Schizosaccharomyces pombe: one gene and its partner. Changing the gene in region 1 together with any one later gene gives a genetic interaction. Each region holds a gene or a part of one and is shown on either strand. Other genes may lie near its edges. The genes, in order: SPOM_SPAC24B11.07C and bag102.

Region 1 (5,247 bases):
ACTAATTCAATCCCTCTTTGCACCTCTGTCTATTAACCTACTTCTAGTCCTGCGCTTGGGTTGACCCTCAACGTATACTTTCCCCGACTACCTCAAGCCCCCTTAGTCAAGTTGTTTCGACAATTTCCAAATATTTCATTCTGGGAATGATCGTTTTTCAAGTTCAAGCACATTATTTTATATAAGATTTGGTGGTCAGCATTTCACAAAGCTCTAACATAACCGTGCATAGTTGGAACCACTGAGGTGGGCCCTTCTAATCCTTTAATCCAAAAAAAGTATTTTCAAGTTGGTTCAAAGAACTGCTTCTCCATATAATCGTTTTTTTCCTCTGTATTATTGTTACAAAAACGTATCTATCGACCGATAGTTTCAAAAAATGCAATTCCGTTCACCCCTTAGGCGTTTTGATGCCTTTCAAAAAACTGTCGAAGATGCTCGCATAAAAACTGCTAGTGGCGGTCTTATAACACTCGTTTCCGGACTTATTGTCATTTTTATTGTTCTCATGGAATGGATCAATTACAGGCGAGTCATCGCAGTCCATGAAATCATCGTCAATCCCTCACATGGCGATCGAATGGAAATCAATTTTAACATCACCTTCCCCCGTATCCCTTGTCAAATACTTACTGTCGATGTCTTGGATGTCAGTGGTGAATTCCAGCGTGACATCCACCATACCGTTTCTAAAACGAGGTTGAGCCCTTCGGGCGAAATTATAAGCGTTGATGATTTGGATATTGGAAATCAACAATCTATTTCTGACGACGGAGCCGCTGAATGTGGTGATTGTTATGGGGCAGCCGACTTTGCTCCTGAAGATACCCCAGGTTGTTGCAATACCTGTGATGCCGTTCGAGATGCGTACGGTAAGGCACACTGGCGAATTGGTGACGTTGATGCCTTTAAACAGTGTAAAGATGAAAACTTTAAGGAGCTTTATGAAGCTCAAAAGGTCGAAGGTTGTAACTTGGCTGGTCAGCTCTCCGTCAATCGAATGGCCGGTAATTTCCACATTGCTCCTGGACGATCTACTCAAAACGGAAATCAGCATGTTCATGATACACGTGACTACATTAATGAACTCGATTTGCATGACATGAGTCACTCCATCCATCATCTTAGTTTCGGCCCTCCTTTAGATGCGTCTGTCCACTATTCCAATCCTTTAGATGGAACAGTGAAAAAGGTAAGCACTGCCGATTATCGCTACGAATATTTTATTAAGTGCGTTTCCTACCAATTCATGCCTTTGTCTAAGAGCACACTTCCCATAGACACAAACAAATATGCTGTCACACAGCATGAACGTTCTATTCGTGGCGGTCGTGAAGAAAAAGTCCCTACCCATGTTAACTTTCATGGCGGAATCCCTGGTGTATGGTTTCAATTTGATATTAGTCCTATGCGTGTTATTGAACGTCAAGTACGTGGCAATACCTTTGGTGGATTTTTGAGTAATGTTTTAGCTTTGCTTGGGGGCTGCGTTACACTTGCTTCGTTTGTTGATAGAGGCTATTATGAGGTTCAAAAGTTAAAGAAAAATTGATCAGATTGTTTATGCACTAAATTTGTTTTGTTTTGTTTTTCGTTCTTTTCTTTTCTTCTGTTTGGTCCTATCGATCAATGTAAATACCATCGGTTTCCATGGCAAGTGCCTGATTTGTAACTTTAGATACTCTATTTCCTATACTATTCCAAATTGATACCACTTGATATTTCATGACTCGCTTATCAATCACAAATTGCTTTTAGCCTCGTTTAGCAAACAACCACTCGCTATATTCACATTGAAGAGCATACGAACCACGCACTTTCTTTCCCTACATCTCAATTCATTTCTTTTAATGTTAAACTCGTCTTCTTTCTAATTAAACATACAAAGATAAAGATCTTTCTATCTGGTGTATTCAATTTTACAAGGACATATAGTATTAGATATATTCGCTTTCCGAACCTAAAGTATTGTCTTGATTCTATAGCATTTTAAATAAAAAGGAAATTAAAATGAATTGAATTGTCTTAAAGTATTAATAAAAATAAGTATTATTTGTAGTACGAGTGATCAAAATTTTTTTAGTTTTTTTTTAGTGCACTCCAAGGAAGATCGTGCCAAGCGGAATGGTATGAGTTGTCATATCCATACACGCTCTTCTACCATAAGCATAACCCCGAGACCGACAATCATACGTCTTAGAAGCCACAAGGAAAACCGATCGTTTCCATTGGAAACCAATTTCCCTTTTCCAAATACATACATTTACAATTAGCGCTCTTTTGTACGGTGTGATCCTATAGAAACGGTTTCGAAAAATAGCAAACCACAATTTGCTGCTTTGGATAAATCACTTTTAGAAAAGCTTTCGATTTACGTGTGAAAACGGTTTTAGTATAGTCGTTATTAGAGCTGCATGGAATCGTGGAGTTTATTAAAGATTTAACAAACGAATTCAACTCGAAAAAAGAAATCCAAAACCAACGATTGAGTTTTTTTTTTAAAGTGTAAATATAATTTTTTTTTAAGAAGAGTCATTTTTAATTTGCTACTGAAATGACTGACGCAGGAAAAAAGGAGCGTGTCAGCATTTTGTGTGTTGGTAGCCCTTCCATCACGACTTTATTAGGTTGGAGGTTACAGCAAAGCTCAGTTGTGACATGCCAAGAAACTATAATGTTTTTCAATGCCCCCGAGCCTTCTACTAACGTCTTCACTATTCAATCGAAAAAATTCGGAACTCGTAAATACCGTCCGACGTATCGTTTATCTAAGCTTGAAGAGGTTACCTCTGATTCTGAGCCTTTCGATTATGTATTTGTTTCAATCAAACCTAATTCTCGCAATTTTCAATTGTCCAACATATTAGAACCGGTGATCACTGCTAAGCATACGTGTATTGTTTATAACTCTACTGGTGCCATTGGGGTTGAAGAAGCTTTGCAACGCCAATATCCTGAAAACCCTATCTTTTCTCTCATTACTCATACACCTGTATCTCAACGTTCTGTAGATGAATTTTTCTTTGGAGACTGCGCTCCGTTTTACTTAGCTCCTGCTGGTTCCAATCTCGAAATTGACCAGCTTTCCAGGTTGGTTGAGATTTTGGAAGGTGGAGAAATTTCATCTGAAATATTGGATACATTGCTTCCCTTGGAAATTGAGGACCTCGCTTTACCCCTCTCTCTTTATCCATTAACTGTACTCACGCAAAATCCCAATTTGCCCAAGCTCTTAGAACGTCCCGATATCAATGACTTGCACCAAGGTATATTACAAGAGCTTGATAGCTTGTGTAACTGCCTTGGATCCTCCTTGGATGTAAAAAAACTTTCCAAGCAACGCGAAACATTACTTTCGCATATGCAGGTGAATCCGGCTTTTAGAGAATATAGATCAAACCGCCCTGTTGAAATTGTACAGTATTTACATTATTGTATTGATTTAGCTACTAAACAATCCCTCCAAGTTCCTCGTTTACGAACAATAAGTGCATTAATTTCGAGTATTCAACACCTTCCTCTCGTTCAACCACATCACATGAATGATATGCATGGGCCCACGGACAATTCACCTAAGAAAAACAAAGTTTTGGTTAATATGCGGCCTATTAATCCATCATCCTTCGTTTCTGATCGACATTCACCTTTACACCCATATTCTGTTCCCGAAAATGGTAAGCCAAATATGGGCAGAATTCCTTCTGCTCCGTCCCTTTCAAAAGGACGAGCAATGACTGCTGACAATATGGATATGTTGTCTCTTACAACTCGTCGCTCTAGACGTTCTTTGTATTCTCCTTCTTTGATGCAAATGCAACAGTCTTTAAAGAGTGATTATGAGGGCTTGGGTCGAACTTTTGATCCGCGTTTTGCTCCTCGAGGTTCACCTCCTGTTCGTGGTGGAAAAAACGTGTTATCCCCTGAAGCTAAAGAGCATACGCACAAGAATATATCACCTGAGTCATCAAGATTTGGTACGCCAAGTGATCCTAATTCGTCTTCTCAATCACTTGGAAATGAAGTATTGTCAAGACCAAATTCCAACTCTAATTCTGCGGAATCGCGAAACGGTGAAACTGATGACAGTGGTGAATCCGAAACGTATTTTACTCTCATGAACAACAATAAGGGAGTAGAACCTCGAGCTTCTGTGGCTTCTGAGACATCGTCAATGACGGTTATACCTAATGCGATGCGTCGCTTTCCGCTAGCTCGTGGAACTTCTCGCATGAAATCGTAGACCTCTCTTTCGGAGCCACAGTTTTCCTCATTCCTTTATCATTATAAAAGCATTGTCGTGTTAAACTTTTATTGATTTGAATTCTACTGACTCATTATTAAGCATTCTTTTGGGGATCACGTTATGTTTTTTTATTTTCTTCCGAACAATTTGCGCTAAGAATAACGCGTTAGCACTCATCGTATTGGGTTCATTTGCATCAAATTTATGAAGGCATAATTTCATTCTTTTTAATCTGGTCTATATTTTAAAAGTACTCTGTTTTTACCCCGTTTGGTTATCTCCGCCATGGAAGCAATTTGGTATAAGTCTATCATATATGTATATATATAACTTTTATTACATTTTGCATGTATCTTTGGCGAAGAATTCCATATAATACGTATCTTTAGTCTATCTGCTCACTGAGCCGTATGGTAATTTCGGCATCACATTCTTTTTTTTTTCGATTTTCCCTTCTTTTAATTTTTGTCCTTTTATTGAATTGATTTTTTATTGAAACATACATTTAACGTAGTATTGTGTCCTATTTCCTCGTAGACTTTAAATGGTATTTGTCCAAACTTTTTTAATTAAAAATTTTTTAATAAAGTAAAAGGAAAATTGAAATGGAAAATGACTTGTTGCACCTAATTATCCTTGGTTATTTCGTCCCAAAATGTGGAAGGTACAGACCCGATTAATGCCTAATCGTGAAACCATAATATTAACAACTCGCTAAGAAATCAAAACGCGGACGCTGGGCTAATAGAGGCAAACAAGCAAATTAACTACGAAATCGAGCATTATGGATCAAATGAAATGTCAGATCTATAATTGAACGGGTTTTTCAACAGTAACTGTTGTCAAAAGACAAATTGGGTTAGCTTACAAGACTTTTTCCTTGAAACACACATTTCAATAATGAATACTAGCTCAAATAGCTAAAAAAGTTGATCTAATAAAGCTGGCTTAACAACTTTACCAACTAACCCATCTCAGATCTGGACAACAAAGCCTTGGTAAGA
Region 2 (4,218 bases), on another chromosome or scaffold:
CTTTTTGTCCTATAAGAGTATCTTCCCGGACGAGATGAGTCCTGTGATGCTTCCAATATTCTCCTTCGGCGCTCACTTCCAATGTCAAAGGTTCGAAAATTACTATTAAAAGATGATCTAGCTCCCTTGGCTGTTTCAGAGGGAGATCCTTCAATGCTAATATCCTCTGACGTTGAACCATTGGCACTTCTTTTTGGAGATTTAGACGCGCTTCTCTTTACATTAAACCCAGAAAACGTATTGGGAGAAAAAGACTTGTGGTAATTACTTGGAATATAAATACTACCTGCTGTAACAGGACGAGCATATCGATTTACGTATGCATCTCCGTCTGGATCTAGTACACTTGAACCAGTATCTTGCTTGCTGCTTGGCAATGGTAAAGAAAGACCTCGTTCAAAACTATCGGTATTATTTCTCCGGATAGCAGGAGTAGAAGGAGCACTTGTACCTACATTTCTATTATCGAATTGAAATCCGACGGTAGTGTTTGGTCGAGGTTTTTTTGATATCTAATCATTAATGCCAGCAAGCTGAACCCTTAACTAGTGAAAAGGGGGCAGCCCAAGCAACACTTGTTAGCAAATCATTATTTCAAACAGGCAAGATAGGGTAGTACTCGGAAAGAAAGGCTCCATTCAACAAATTGAACAGCTGCAATTTGCGTACAGGTGCAACTTTCATGTCTTACATAAAGAATAAGAGAAACTACCTCTGATCTTCTTAAAAAATTAGCATACCTCGGATGTCTCAGGTCTCCAAAAAGAAGGAATAGCAGGGCTTTCAGATAAAGCCGACATGCAATCAAATAAAAGAAAAAGATCAATTAGAGCCAAAAAAGAGAGTAAAAAGAATATCCAAAACTGGGAATTGGGAAACCGGTGTTTGGCTAACAATTAGTAGTACGCGGATCGCGACGCTAATTTCCTCAGTTGAGCTGGTATCGTGTTAAATATTTTGTAAAAGAATATTTCCCTCTTTTTAGTAATGTTCATGGAACAATTGGTGAAAAACATAATATTAAAAGGTCACAAGAAAATTTTTATAGCTAAAATATTCTTTTAAAAATAATTCGAGCAAGTTCTCAGGCAGGTGTAGGAAATAGATGGATATTTAATAGAAATTACCCTTGAGAGCAAATAGAGCTGATTCCTTTATCCATGTAAGATGGAAACATAACTTTTGACGTCCCCAAGAACATGCACTCTTAGATAGGTAAGCACATCAGTGATGGAGTAAGTGTTGATATATCCAGGTATTGCAGACGAGTAACAATAATGAAAGTTGAAATGGAGAATTGTTTACAGCATGATATCCTGTTCTTCAATTTTTATGCAATTTGAGTCCCCAACAATTGAATCGATCAAATGGGAGAACCCACTAAATTATTGAAGAGTATTTTGAAAAAATAGTTGAGGTATAAAATACCCAAGAATTCAACCATTAAACGATAAAATCAACCGAGAATGCGCTTTTGCTGATATGAATTTATATGAAACTTCTTCTTTGCTTTTCAGAATAAAGTTATACATACAAATAAACAATTATTTACGCCGAAAGCAATCAAAGATCCTTAGAGTATTACTTATTCTCTTAAAAAAAATTAGAGCATTACTACTTCTGGTTAAAGTCAGATTCACACTTTGTTCAATTATCAAACACATCCCATGGATTGCTTTTTTCGGTACCTTCCTTGTCAAAGAAACAAAAATTAAACTTAAAAAGAGAAAAAACAAGATCTTTACGAAACTGAATTAGTTTAATTTGATGCATGAACGTAAATGATAACTAGATATTTGAGGTCAACATGTCAGTCTACTGCAGCAGAAGTTTTAACAAAAACAAAAAGAATAAGATTTTGGCAACAAACAGCTTTTTTTTTTTTTAATTATCATTTTTCGGACTTATCATGTTTGTATAGGAGAAACTCACATTTCAAAGAATTCATAACACTATCATCTCCACAACCTACATAGTAACCACCAAATGCGAAATTGGTTCGAGAGCAACTCACCAATTTAAAACATCCTCTCTCTTATCTAGCAATTAAATTTTTATATACCAGTTCCTTCATTTACCAAGGAAATCTGATAAAGACCCAGACTTATTTAGTCTTGCTTATTGACCGGTTTATCACTTCTTCATTCATTTGACTTTAGGAAAAAGCATCGAGAAATCAACATGTCTTTTTTTACCCAGTTGTGTTCTATGGATAAAAAATATTGGATCTCTCTAGCTGTATTGTCAGTTACTGTTTTGATTAGCGCATTATTGAAAAAGAGAGCTACTGAAACCGAAGATATTGTCGTTGTTCATTACGATGGCGAAAAGTTGAATTTTGTGTTGCGACAACCAAGGCTGAATATGGTTTCTTACACTAGTTTTCTTCGTCGCGTGTGCAACGCATTTTCAGTAATGCCCGACAAAGCGTCTCTCAAGTTAAACGGGGTGACCCTCAAGGATGGTTCACTTTCCGACCAAAATGTGCAAAATGGAAGTGAATTAGAGCTCGAATTACCCAAACTGAGCCCGGCAATGCAACAAATTGAAGCATATATAGATGAGCTTCAACAGGATCTCGTCCCTAAAATTGAAGCCTTCTGCCAATCGTCTCCCGCTTCGGCACAAGATGTTCAAGATTTGCATACACGCCTTAGTGAAACATTGTTGGCTAGGATGATAAAATTAGATGCTGTTAATGTTGAAGACGACCCAGAAGCTCGTCTTAAAAGAAAAGAAGCTATTCGTTTATCTCAACAATATTTGAGTAAACTAGATTCCACCAAGAATCAAAACAAATGAAAAATGTGTTATAATTTAACAATTCTTAGTTGCTTGGGAGACGATGGTTCCGTCGGCTATGGTTTTTTGGATATGTAAAAACTGATTGACTAAACAACTCCTACAATATTTTTCCGTTTCTAACAACTTCTATACCAAGGTTCTGCAAACAACTTGTAGCACCCAATTTTAAGTTTTTATGCTGGCTTGAATTTTTGTTTTTCTTTTTTTGATACCGCTTGCTCCTCAACTATTAAACTGTTCTACTCTCAATTTATACATAATCTTTAAGCATTCATAATGCCATATTTTCTATTTTTGTCGTTACAACTGTTTTTTCTTACATTTGCTCAACTGCAGCCGTATCATTAATTTTTGTAAACATTCGTCATTGCTTTTTGTTTCTTCCGGAAGGTTGGATAGTCATAGTGTTACAAATTCAAAATACTTTTTCTTATGATAAATGGATTTCAAAACTGTATACCAATTCTAGCATATCAACTCCACATCCTTTACTTCCTTCGTAATCACTTAACAAAAACTCAACGTTCCAATGTTTTATACCATTAATATCGAAGAGTGAAATTTAGAACAGCTGGTTATTTTGAAATTTAAGAACCATGTCTATTTAAAACTAAGGTTAAAAGTATTTTATCATTATTATTTGACTTGACTGCATCGTCAATGTATTATGTAGACTTATTAAACGTTACTCAATATTTATGTAACATGTTTTCCCCTTTCCCATTTATAAATAGTTTAATTTCCTCAAATACTTTATACAGCCCTCCTGAAAAGTCATACATATATTAGCATTTGTCCACCAACATTCAATATATTTTTAATATTATATATCGGTATTTATCGGTGTATCAGAACACGAATAATATGCGTTGTAATTCGTAATAAATATTTACAACGTCTTGTGTGTCGTAATGTGAACAAGTGAGCATACTTCAAGTTCATTGTATGTTTCATATATGAACACAGAAATTACATGCTTTTTAAAAGCTGAAAATTTTAATCAGAGTATAATAAAATGGTAACTATTTTTGTTTTAAGACAAACATTAACCGTTAGACTGCCATTTTTAACTTTGAAAGTTTGCTTTTCGTTATACTATTAACGATCTGCACATGTACTTATTTACACCGTCAATTCCCTGCTTTATTAGAAAAAAGAAAAGAAGGGTAAGCCTAAATGATTATTAGATATATAATATTTTAGTTTTGAGGGATATGGAATTGCTAATAAGTTGACAGCGTGACAATGGTATTCTGGAAATGCGCTCGAATTGGTGAGCGAGCTAGTCCGGTGAGTTTTAGCTATTTCACTAGCTAATTATCCTTTTTAAAAAAGGCTAGATCTAACATCTATCTTTAGTATATATCACTATTTTGTGTTTTTATGGCTTTACGATTTATTTTCGGTTCCTCA

The links.
Region 2: mutations in SPOM_SPAC24B11.07C (region 1) and bag102 together harm fitness less than expected from each alone (positive genetic interaction), as found in Schizosaccharomyces pombe (one study listed by BioGRID).

The regions. Positions count from the first base shown.
Region 1 is NC_003424.3:208,339-213,585, reverse strand, and holds SPOM_SPAC24B11.07C (oxidoreductase), read left to right. Parts: upstream 1-2,162; 5' UTR 2,163-2,554; coding exon 2,555-4,240; 3' UTR 4,241-4,747; downstream 4,748-5,247. Other genes in the region: COPII-coated vesicle-associated protein Erv46, read left to right, coding at 380-1,552.
Region 2 is NC_003423.3:789,843-794,060, reverse strand, and holds bag102 (BAG family molecular chaperone regulator Bag102), read left to right. Parts: upstream 1-1,977; 5' UTR 1,978-2,181; coding exon 2,182-2,802; 3' UTR 2,803-3,397; downstream 3,398-4,218. Other genes in the region: Tea1-anchoring protein Mod5, read right to left, coding at 1-512, 741-800; protein ksh1, read left to right, coding at 3,821-3,823, 3,862-3,971, 4,044-4,095, 4,165-4,218. UniProt on the Schizosaccharomyces pombe protein: Inhibits the chaperone activity of HSP70/HSC70 by promoting substrate release.